Drosophila melanogaster: one gene and its partner. The protein of the gene in region 2 interacts with the protein of the main gene of each other region in a pairwise test. Each region holds a gene or a part of one and is shown on either strand. Other genes may lie near its edges.

Region 1 (6,095 bases), on a different chromosome or scaffold from region 2:
AAACTGGATACTTCTAGTATTTGAAAGCAAGAAAATCTAATTAGTACTTCTATAAATGTAGGTTTCAAATTCTTAATTAAAATAAATATTGGAAATTTTGCGTCCAAATGAGATTTTTTATGTAAGCTACCAATAGTCTGTTAAGGTACGTTTTGTTAATTCAAATTTATTTTTAGCCAATCAGAAAGAAAAAGCGCACAGTGGAACTAAATAAGAGATCTTCCAAACTAGTCCATTTAAGTTGGCAAAATCTTGGAAGAAATAGTGTGAAAAGCAAATAAAACGAAATAAAGGCAGAACACAAACAAATTAATAAACAAATAGAAACGGAAATAAAAAAAATTAAATACAAACCTTTGGCACTACTTGAATCTGTGACGCTAAGTTGCCCGCCGACGGCGACATGATCATGTTGGCCACCACGTGCTGGCGCCGACCGGAGGACTGGGATTGGTTTTGATTGTGCTCCTGCAGCTGCAGTTGCTCCCCATCGACCACGCTCGCGGGATAGAAGGTTTGCTTGATCTCCAGCCCGGGCGGTAGGTTGAAAACTAGATTTTCGCCACCACCACCGGCGTCCACTGAGGATGCCTCACTGGCAAAATCGAGCTGCCGATGTTCCTGTTTCACCTGCAGCTGCAGCACGTTCTTAATGTCCTCCTGCCCCGCTCCATTGTCCTCCAGCTTCGTCCAGCAGAGGTTCTGCTGCTGCTGCTGTTGCTGCAGGGTGCTTTGTATCACAGATGAGTAGGCCACCGTGGTGGGTGTGGCAGCAGCAGACGATCCAGCGCCCGCTTCTTGCCGCCTTTGCACAGGGGATGCCGTCTTGTAGACGATCACCTGGGCCTGCGGTGTGCTGACCACGTCCACCGCATGTAAATTCGTGATGGGCGATCCATCTGCGGAGCTTAGCGCCGGACTGGCATATTGCACCGGATAGGATCCCGCCGGAACTGGCACTGCCAGCGGCACCGGACTGGCATCCTGTTGGTCTACTATCGTTGCCCGATACGGCTGGCCATCCTTCCGCGTCACCTTGACCTTCCGGCCATCAATGGTGTAATAGGTGTCCGGTTCTGTGTCTGCCTCGGCGATCTCCTGTTGCAGTTGCTGGTGGAGCTGCTGCTGTTGCTGCTGCGCCGCTGTCTGTTGTTGCTGCTGCTGCTGTTGCAGTTGGATCAGGTAAATCGAGTCGTTGTAGGCTTTTAATTGCTTTTCCTGCTTAATCTGCTACAGCGCACCGTACATAGATTGAATCGGAATCGGAAAGTGTTTGGTTTGGGATTGATTCGACATAGAGAGGCTAGACTTAGTCTATGCTTTGATGGGTTTATTGGAAGGGATGTTATGTTAGTATGCGATAAATGCGATAGAGCCTGCGGGGTTTTAATAAGTGTGTGTGCTTCCCCAGAAGCTGGCGTAAACCATAATAGAAGAGTGATCTGAAAGCCGAACGTAAAACAAACGAATTCTACTCACCACTTTGTCGGCCACCAGGTTTAGCTGTTGCTGTTGCGCCTGCTGCTGTTGCTGTTGGGCCTGTTGTTGCTGCTGTTGTGCCTGCTGCTGTTGCTGCTGTGCCTGCTGCTGTTGCATGGCCAGGAAGGTGTTCGATATCATGTTCGGCGTGTTCCAGGTCAGCGACGTCGACGTCAGGGCCACCGTTGTGGGCGATGGTGAGGCTCCACTCGACGAGGAGTTCTCCCCGTAATAGTTCGAGGCAACATTGTTGACTACAGCAGCCGCTGCCGCCGACACGGCCGCCTGGTTCTGGAACGAACTGAGCTGCTTGTCCAGCGAACTGGGCAGCTGCAGCTGGCGGTGCGGCGTGCTCACCGCTGACGAGGCATAGTGGGCGGGCTTAGGCTGGACACTGGCCGCCGCCGCATGGTGGTAGATCTGCTGGAATACTGGGTTGTAGCTGCCAATCGGTGACGGAGGCACAAAGCTGCCACCACTGGCGGCCGCCGCATTAAAGCTGGCGATGCTTGCTGCCGTAATGGTGGCCAGGTGTGGATGCTGGAAGTCCTCTGCTGTTCCGCCGGAGCTTCCGGCACTGGCGGGCACGATGCGGTTGTAGGCGTATGACCAGGGACTGGAATTGGGATCCATGTTTGGCTTGGGCTCTTCTACTGCTGATGGCTGGTAACTGAAACAAATAGCAAAACTTTAGTGGTTTTTGAATATAATTAGCGGCTTATATGTAAAGGATTAACTAATTGGAGTTTATTATTGCTCGGATACATTTCCAATGGTCATGTGTTAAGTCTAAAAATCCCGCCCATATTTATCAATTTAGCGGTAGCTTAGATTATAACATATTTATATTGTTATCACAAGTTGCTTGCCATGGCATTCATAATATAGAGGGGAAAAAGGCGCGAATTCAATTAATGTTATTTATGGATCAATAATAATTACTATAAAATTATTGATATTTATATGTGGTCAAACATATTTTGTTTATCTTTTATTGTAAATCAATAAACACATAGTAGAAGTACACTTTAGAATGAAACACTCCAGTTTTGGGGTGTTTGTTCCCCAACTTTTCTGCACTGAAGGGATCCCCCTATTTTTTTCGTATCTTCATTTTTTTTGTATCCCTTTTGGCCACGATGCGCTTGGTTCCCCCTTCAAAAAAATTGGCGTCTGTATTTTTTGCCTTGGCGCTCGGCGGCAAGGAGACCGCATTTTTGAAGTTTCAGCGTCAATGGGTTAATGTGGGTGCTCACTTATGACATTACAATGACGGGGCCATCACATTGGCTGGGATTTATGCTGTTTTTGGCAATGTTTTTCTGCCTGGGAATAGGATTTTTTCCCGTATTTTCCGCTTGTACATATATGTATCCATGCACACAATCACACACACACACACACATACTCACACACACGGGCGTACATGCGTGCGTGTTGGAAGATAGTCACTAACTTTTAGTCGTTATAGAATCGGAACTGTCGGTCTGCTCGGGCCCAGCATTATCTTCACATCGGATCGGCCAGCACAACAACGCTTCAATATGCACGAGCGGATTTTATGTTTAACTAACAGCGAACGTTCTTTTTTTTAGATTCGGTGCATAACTTTTTTGTGGATGAAACAATCTCCAAAATGGCCGCTCTGCTGCCAGTGAAAAACGAACCACTGGCTCAGGTGAATGATGCCACGGTGAACTTGTTCATCGGTTCACTAGTTCGCGCGCCGAGTGTTTATTGTTTGTTTTGCCGTCGTCCTCGCATTTCGTCTTTGTTAATTTCCTCAAAAAGTATACTGCGTCTTGTGTTCTTCGTGGCATAGGTTAGTCAAAAACATAATTAAGTCATGTTGTGTGAACAATTCACCGTGAAATTTGACCAGCAATTATATTCCCATGTGCTATGCAATAGCAACAAGTGTTGTATAATACGCTTTTTATCGGGTCTACAGTCATTACTAGTTAACTTTGTTGTGTATTTACATTTTACGAGCATTTATTAAGGCACATTTGATAAGATATAAACAAATTAATCGTAACTCCTCTGAAGGTTGTGTTTACTGAACTCGCGCGTTTCCTAACACTGATCAATTGGAACTAGTTGATTTCAAAAACCATGAGAACTTTACAAAATCTGAAAACAAAAAAAAAAATAAAATAATTCCAAACTTAAATATTATATTAAATCTAGGTTTTATTAACTATATGTACGGTTCTAAATTATATATGAACGAATCAAGCCACCACCATTACACATTTTGCAACACTAATTGACCAGAAACCCAGTGGAAAATTGACGCTGCTGATATAATTTAAAAGTTTAGTTAAGGAAAAATTAAATGTTCTTACTTTGGTTTTTTCAACATACATTATCATAAACTTGTAGCTTAATAATACAAAATGTAGCTAAATCTTTAACTCGTTATCCGTGATGTTAAGGAATGTTGAATTCGGCTTTGACAAGTAAAATAGTTAACAATGGTTTCTGTTCCTTAAATATTACTAATTTGTATACATTTAAAAGATTTGGCATAATAACTGGTGTAAAAAAATATTTATTTTTTAATATAAAAATCATAACATTAAATTTAAAACCATCGCGTTGCGATATATGTTGCATTATCCAGCACTGTTCGGCTGGAACCAGTTCGATAGCCCGCTGTTTTATGGTTGGTTCACGTACTAATGACAGTCATTTTACGTATTCATTGCTAAAAGAAAACTGAAAAAATACATTTGACCAAGTTTCCGGTTAGTCATCCGCCCACACCGATCTTCAATTAGTCCTAACCGAATCAAAGGAGAGGTGCGTAGTGCCCAATTGTCAATGAATCGGGGGGAATCCGCCAGCAGCTGGCTGCTCCTCTGCGTACGTGTAAATCTGGGTGAGACGCCCACTAAATAGCAATCACAACATTTCCAGAGAGCACATAGCCATGGACTTCGGAGACGATTTCGCTGCCAAGGAGGACGTGGATCCGGCGGCCGAGTTCCTGGCGCGCGAACAGTCAGCTCTCGGGGACTTGGAGGCGGAGATTACGGGTGGATCTGCATCAGCTCCTCCGGCTGCATCCACAGACGAGGGCTTGGGTGAGCTTCTGGGAGGCACCGCCTCCGAAGGCGATCTGCTCTCTGCTGGCGGCACGGGTGGCCTCGAATCCTCCACTGGCAGTTTTGAGGTCATTGGTGGCGAGTCCAATGAACCCGTGGGCATATCCGGTCCGCCGCCGTCGCGGGAAGAGCCCGAAAAGATACGCAAATGGCGCGAAGAGCAAAAGCAACGACTGGAGGAGAAGGACATCGAGGAGGAGCGAAAAAAGGAGGAACTCCGACAGCAGTCCAAGAAGGAGCTGGACGACTGGTTGCGCCAGATTGGCGAGTCCATATCGAAGACCAAACTGGCGTCGCGGAATGCCGAGAAACAAGCCGCCACCCTGGAGAATGGCACCATCGAGCCGGGCACCGAATGGGAGCGCATAGCCAAGCTCTGCGACTTCAATCCCAAGGTGAACAAGGCGGGAAAGGACGTCTCCCGCATGCGATCCATCTACCTGCACCTCAAGCAGAATCCCATCCAGGTGCAGAAGAGCACCTAGGTAGTTTTAATTACGCACTCGCCTAACCACATTGAGTTGAATATGAAAATTATTATTGAAAGTATTCGCTGTATATTCCAATTTATGATACATAAAATATTATTATTGCTGCTATAACATAGCCGCGATCATCGTTTTGTCTAATGAATGCAATAAAGAATGTGCACACAGTTGTCATGCTTTCCTTGACTATCATATACCCCATCACACAAAATAAGAAAAACGACATGAAAAAGTTAGGAAAAAGAACAAATAAAAAATAAAACCAAGGATATGACAACTAAAGTGTTTTTTCGTTCATTTTGTTAATCAAGCAGGGTTGCACATCAAGGGGCTTTAATTACTTCCAGTTTTGTTGTAAATAATATTTATTGCTCTATAAAACGCATTATACAAACCATTTATTATTCTTATCTCTAGTTAGTTATACACATACAACTTGTTTTCATCATATATGTGTGTTGGAAATATCAATGGGTTGGAAATGGAATATGGTTGTGTATGGATTTGCATTCATTAAATGATTATTAAAATAAAGACATACAGACAACTGAGGCAAGTATTTGTCATTGCAGAGCTGGTTTAATGTATGCATTATATGAATGAAATACGCATAAAGAAACCAATTACGATAATGAAAAGTGGATATCAGAAATCATAATTTAATTATTTCCATCGCTTAATAAGGTTTTCTACTTGTTTTGCAGAAATGGCTGAAGTTTCCGCTCAAGATTTGATATCCCAGTTGTCGAAGTCACCCGAAAGCCACAAGAGAAAGGAATATCTGCATTGGGATGACTACTTTATGGCCACCTCACTGCTCTCCGCCAAACGCAGCAAAGATCCCGTCACCCAAGTGGGCGCCTGCATCGTGGATTCCCAGAATCGGATAGTGGCCATTGGATACAATGGGTTCCCTCGCAACTGCAGCGATGACGTGTTTCCGTGGTCAAAAGCTAAGAAAGGCTCGCAGGAATTTGATCCCCTGGAAGACAAGAAGATGTACGTGGTCCACGCGGAG
Region 2 (4,308 bases):
ATCGAGCTGTATGGTAACAGAGAGGTTTCGCTAAGCGAGATGTGCTCCCTCATCACCAGCAAGATGGAGCACTCCTACCAGATGTGCAGCGGCAAAGATACGAGCGGGAAGCCCCTCATCCAGATGTCCCTGGCCACGCGATCGGGCAACAAGAAGGTGACGCTGGTCAGCAACATCGAGGCGTACGGCATCATCCTGGCCGAGTTCATCAAGCTGTGCAAGCAGGGAGCCGCCGCCAGCACCAGTGTGGTGAAACTGCCGCACCAAAAGCACGAGCAGCTGCAAATCCAGGGCAACCAGGTGCGATTTGTGCACACGCTGCTCACGGAAACGTACAAGGTGCCGCCCAAGTGCATCCTGGGCCTGGAATTGGCCAAGGACGGCAAGAAGAATAAGAAGAAGTGAGCCGGACAATAAATGAAGCCTCCTCCGCCTGTCCTCTTGAGTGTAATAATAAATTATTTATTAACTGTAGTGGGGATGAACCAATTACTGCTACGCGAACAACAACAACGAATGGGATTGGCTACATCTTGAACAGAAGCGTAATCAGAATGCTCTGACTTGTGCCGTATTTGAGTGGATTCTCATGAGGTGTGGCCTGCGTGCTTACTTGGCCTTGCCCTGGGCGGCCACAGCCTCGATGGCCTTCTTCACGGTCTCCTCGTCGCCGAGGAACTGCATGGACACCACCGGCTTGAAGTTCTCGTCCAGCTCGTAGACGAACGGAATGCCCGTGGGCAGATTTAGGGCCATGATGGCGTCCTCAGAAAGGTCTGGATTGGACAAGGATATGGTAAAAAGATGATATGATATATGTTATGTCTCCCATGCTCACTGTCTAAATGCTTGACGATGCCACGGAGGCTGTTGCCGTGGGCAGCGATCAGGATGCGCTTGCCCTCCTTCATCTGGGGAATGATGACGTCGTTCCAGTAGGGCAGTGTGCGTTCGATGGTCAGCTTGAGGGACTCGAACTGGGGGAACTCCTCGGGCTTGGGACCCTCGGCGTAGCGGGGATCCTTGACGATGTTCTCGTAGTACGGATGGCCCGGCTCCATCGGTGGTGGCGGGGTGTCGAAGCTGCGACGCCAGATCTGCACCTGGGCCTCGCCGTACTTGGCGGCGGTCTCGGCCTTGTTCAGGCCAGTGAGTCCACCGTAGTGGCGCTCGTTCAGGCGCCAAGTCTTCTGGATGGGGATCTCCTTGTGGCCACTGGCCTTCAGGATGCTGGCCAGCGTCACCTGGGCGCGGGTCAGCACCGAGGTGTGGGCCACATCGAACTCCAGGCCGGCATCCTTGACGGCCTTGCCGGCGGCTAGGGCCTCCTCCTGACCTGTTTGGGCAAATGTTTAGCGAACATTAAGTATACGCCGTGTTGGGTAACGAACGTAAGCCAATTTAATCTAATTGAAAGGCATGCGTTTAATTTAATTTGATTACTAGGGTTAAAAAAAGGCGATAACCTATCAAATTATGCTCATAAGCATAATCTGAACTTTAGAAACATATGAGATGGCAAATTTTTGACTTTAAAGTGTAACAAACTAGAATTTTGATGCTTCTGAAAATTGCACTGGAAAGCTTTTGTTTGTAGAGACCTATTTTTATCACAGAAAAGTTTGAATGAGATAATGTTGCACTAGGTCAATGAAGATTAATTTGGGTAAATGAAAAGGAATACTATTGTGAAACTGATCAAAGCAAAGGATCATCGATTGGAAACTAGATGTACATCAGATTTTTAATCCCACATATGAGGTTTAAATTTCAAATTGATGTAATCACTCACCCTTTTCGCTGAGGTTGGCGTCGTACCAGCCGCAGAACTGATTCTTCTGGTTCCACTCGGACTCGCCGTGGCGCACCATCACGATCTTGTACTTGCCGCCCATTTTAGCTGCGTTGATCACTCTGCGGATAATTGTGTACTCGTTCTTAAGCTGCCGCCTTGCTGCGACTGCAATATGTGGGAATTCTGCTGAAGTTTGACCTACAAGGGAGCCGTCCAAGGTCGCAGCTGTCAGGCCGCGATATTGCCGTTCTGTTGGAAAAACGTAGTGCGCAGATGCGGTGCCTTCTCTGATTGGACTCCGGAGTATGGTCTTATTGGAATAGCGCGTCAAGCTACCTTCAAATGTCCAATTAGTTTGCGCTGTGCAACAGGTTGGCATCCCCCGCGCAGATGTTATCGCTCGCGTTTGTCATCACTATATTCGTGTTTTGGTTTTTAAATTTGGCTGTTTTTAAATTTTGCTCCCATAAATTCCAACTTTTTGTCACTTAAAGCATGTGCGAAAAGGTCACCGCGCGCTGCACTTGGCCCCAGCTGTCGGGCAACGGGCTGGACCAACTGGTGGCCACCCGCTTGTCCGACGAAGACGTCTTTGTGAAGTGAGACAAAGGATTCCACGCCCCGAAACTGGTTTTTATCAAGTAATTTTGAAACCTCCTTTGTCCGCAGGCCCGACTTGGACGACGTGATCGACGAGAATCGCGCCGTGCTGTTTTCCATGCAGTCGGCGGATCCGCCGCCGCCTTGTGAGCTGCGCTTCCAGATCCCGAACCGCTTCAAAATCGCCGCGCTCACCCTGATTTGCAGCGCTCCCAAGGTGGAGCTGTTCATTGGACCCTTGCAGGAGTACTGCGAGACCATCTACGGCACTTGCGTCGACGATGAGGACCCAGAGGTTGCGGTGCGACCCTATCGCTATGACATGGAAATCGACCGATCCGGGATAAATGACATAAACCTGAAGATGCTCACCTCGGCCAGCGAGATCTGCGTTTACGGAGCCCTGCTCCAGGTGGCGCCGAATCCCAACGGCATAACCACCCAGTTGCCCAGGCCAATGGATGCGCAGCGAATCCAAGAGCTGCTGCAAAGGGGTGGCACGAGTCCCTTGAAGAAGGAGGAGCAGGCCGAAAAGTTCGAGCAGTTCATGAGCCTGATGAAGGGCTATTCCCCGCAGGCGAAGGACCAAACCCAAGAGACTGCACCGCCTTCCACCGATGTTGCAATCCTCAAGGAGCACATCGACATGAGATTTGAGAAGCTGACGCTGTTAGTGTCTAAGAGACTGGACAACTTCGAGGCCCAGCAGACGGAAAAGTTAAACAAAATTATTGCCTTGCTGGAAAAGGAAAAATAAGTAATATACCATTAATTTGCTAATCTGTAATTTCTTTCTTAGCATTGTCATCATTGTATTTTGTAATTGTTGTAAAAGACTGTTGGTGCGAATATTTCGAATGTGATTAGGCAACATATTTAAGTTTGGTTTTGAATGTAATGTACATTAAATAAAATATTCTTCTCTTAAAATCATAAATTTTTTCTTTTTCGCTTGGAATATTTGAATTTCAACCACTTTCGATAGACCAACATCAGCTGTGCCCGAACCGAACTTTATCGATAACCACCTGTTGCATTTGTTTACGTTTTGTATGGCCGAAGAGAAAGTAAGTTGGCTTAAAAGCTCGTCATGGCCCAGATCGTAGGTTAAAGTTGGTGGGAATCGTCTACTTTCGTTGCGCGAGTTCATGAATTTATCCATCCGCGCTATTTCGGCCATCTGCGGCGTTTTCTTGGGCTGCTGCAGTGGCGTCGTCTTCTTGGAGCTCCTGGTTAAACTGGATCCCGGCGCTGGAAACCTTATAACTGGCGCCCAGTTTGCATTTATTGCCCTCGAGGGCTTCATCTTCACCTCGAAGTTTGGCCTGGCCCAGAGAGTGATCAGCCTGCGCGACTATGCGCTCCTCGTGGCCATGTTTTTCCTGACCAGCGTATGCAACAACTACGTGTTCAAGTTCAAAGTTCCAATGACACTGCACATGATCATACGCGGCGGTTCGCTGATCTCCAACATGTGCCTGTGCACGTTGATCCTGAAGAGGAGTTACCGGTTGAGTCAGTACATATCGGTGCTCATGATCAGCGTGGGCATTTTCGTCTGCACATATTTCTCCAGTCCGGATTTGGTGGGTAAGATGGAGAATTTGGATAGTGGCGCCGAGGCGGATACGTTCTGGTGGCTGTTGGGCGTGGCACTCTTGGTGCTGGCTCTATTTGTTTCCTCCTACATGGGAATTACACAGGAGTTGCTGTATCGACGTCATGGCAAGTGCGCCAGGGAAGCGTTGTATTACACCCACCTGTTGCCGCTGCCCGCCTTCCTGCTCATGCATGACGACATACGGACGCACTGGCTTTTGGCGTTCACGGGCGAGTCCTACCAGTTGCCCCTCCTGGGCGTGGCAGTGCCCCTAATCCTGCTATACTTATTGGGCAACGTGCTTGCGCAGCAT

The links. The genes of interacting proteins can lie anywhere in the genome.
Region 1: the proteins of CG11882 (region 2) and Clc interact in a two-hybrid assay, tested with the Drosophila melanogaster proteins (2 studies listed by BioGRID).

Annotation. Positions count from the first base shown.
Region 1 is NT_037436.4:20,238,384-20,244,478, forward strand, and holds Clc (clathrin light chain), read left to right. Parts: upstream 1-2,669; 5' UTR 2,670-2,723; intron 2,724-2,735; exon of another isoform or gene 2,736-3,157; intron 3,158-3,179; exon of another isoform or gene 3,180-3,301; intron 3,302-3,461; exon of another isoform or gene 3,462-3,520; intron 3,521-4,122; exon of another isoform or gene 4,123-4,401; 5' UTR 4,402-4,414; coding exon 4,415-5,074; 3' UTR 5,075-5,352; downstream 5,353-6,095. Other genes in the region: CG17233 (uncharacterized protein), read right to left, coding at 355-1,230, 1,480-2,112; CG6951 (uncharacterized protein), read left to right, coding at 5,784-6,095. UniProt on the Drosophila melanogaster protein: Clathrin is the major protein of the polyhedral coat of coated pits and vesicles.
Region 2 is NT_033777.3:29,146,037-29,150,344, reverse strand, and holds CG11882 (uncharacterized protein), read left to right. Parts: upstream 1-2,172; 5' UTR 2,173-2,290; coding exon 2,291-2,394; intron 2,395-2,464; coding exon 2,465-3,152; 3' UTR 3,153-3,329; downstream 3,330-4,308. Other genes in the region: eIF2D (eukaryotic translation initiation factor 2D), read left to right, coding at 1-405; Pglym78 (phosphoglyceromutase 78), read right to left, coding at 610-776, 839-1,336, 1,793-1,895; CG14511 (uncharacterized protein), read left to right, coding at 3,544-4,308.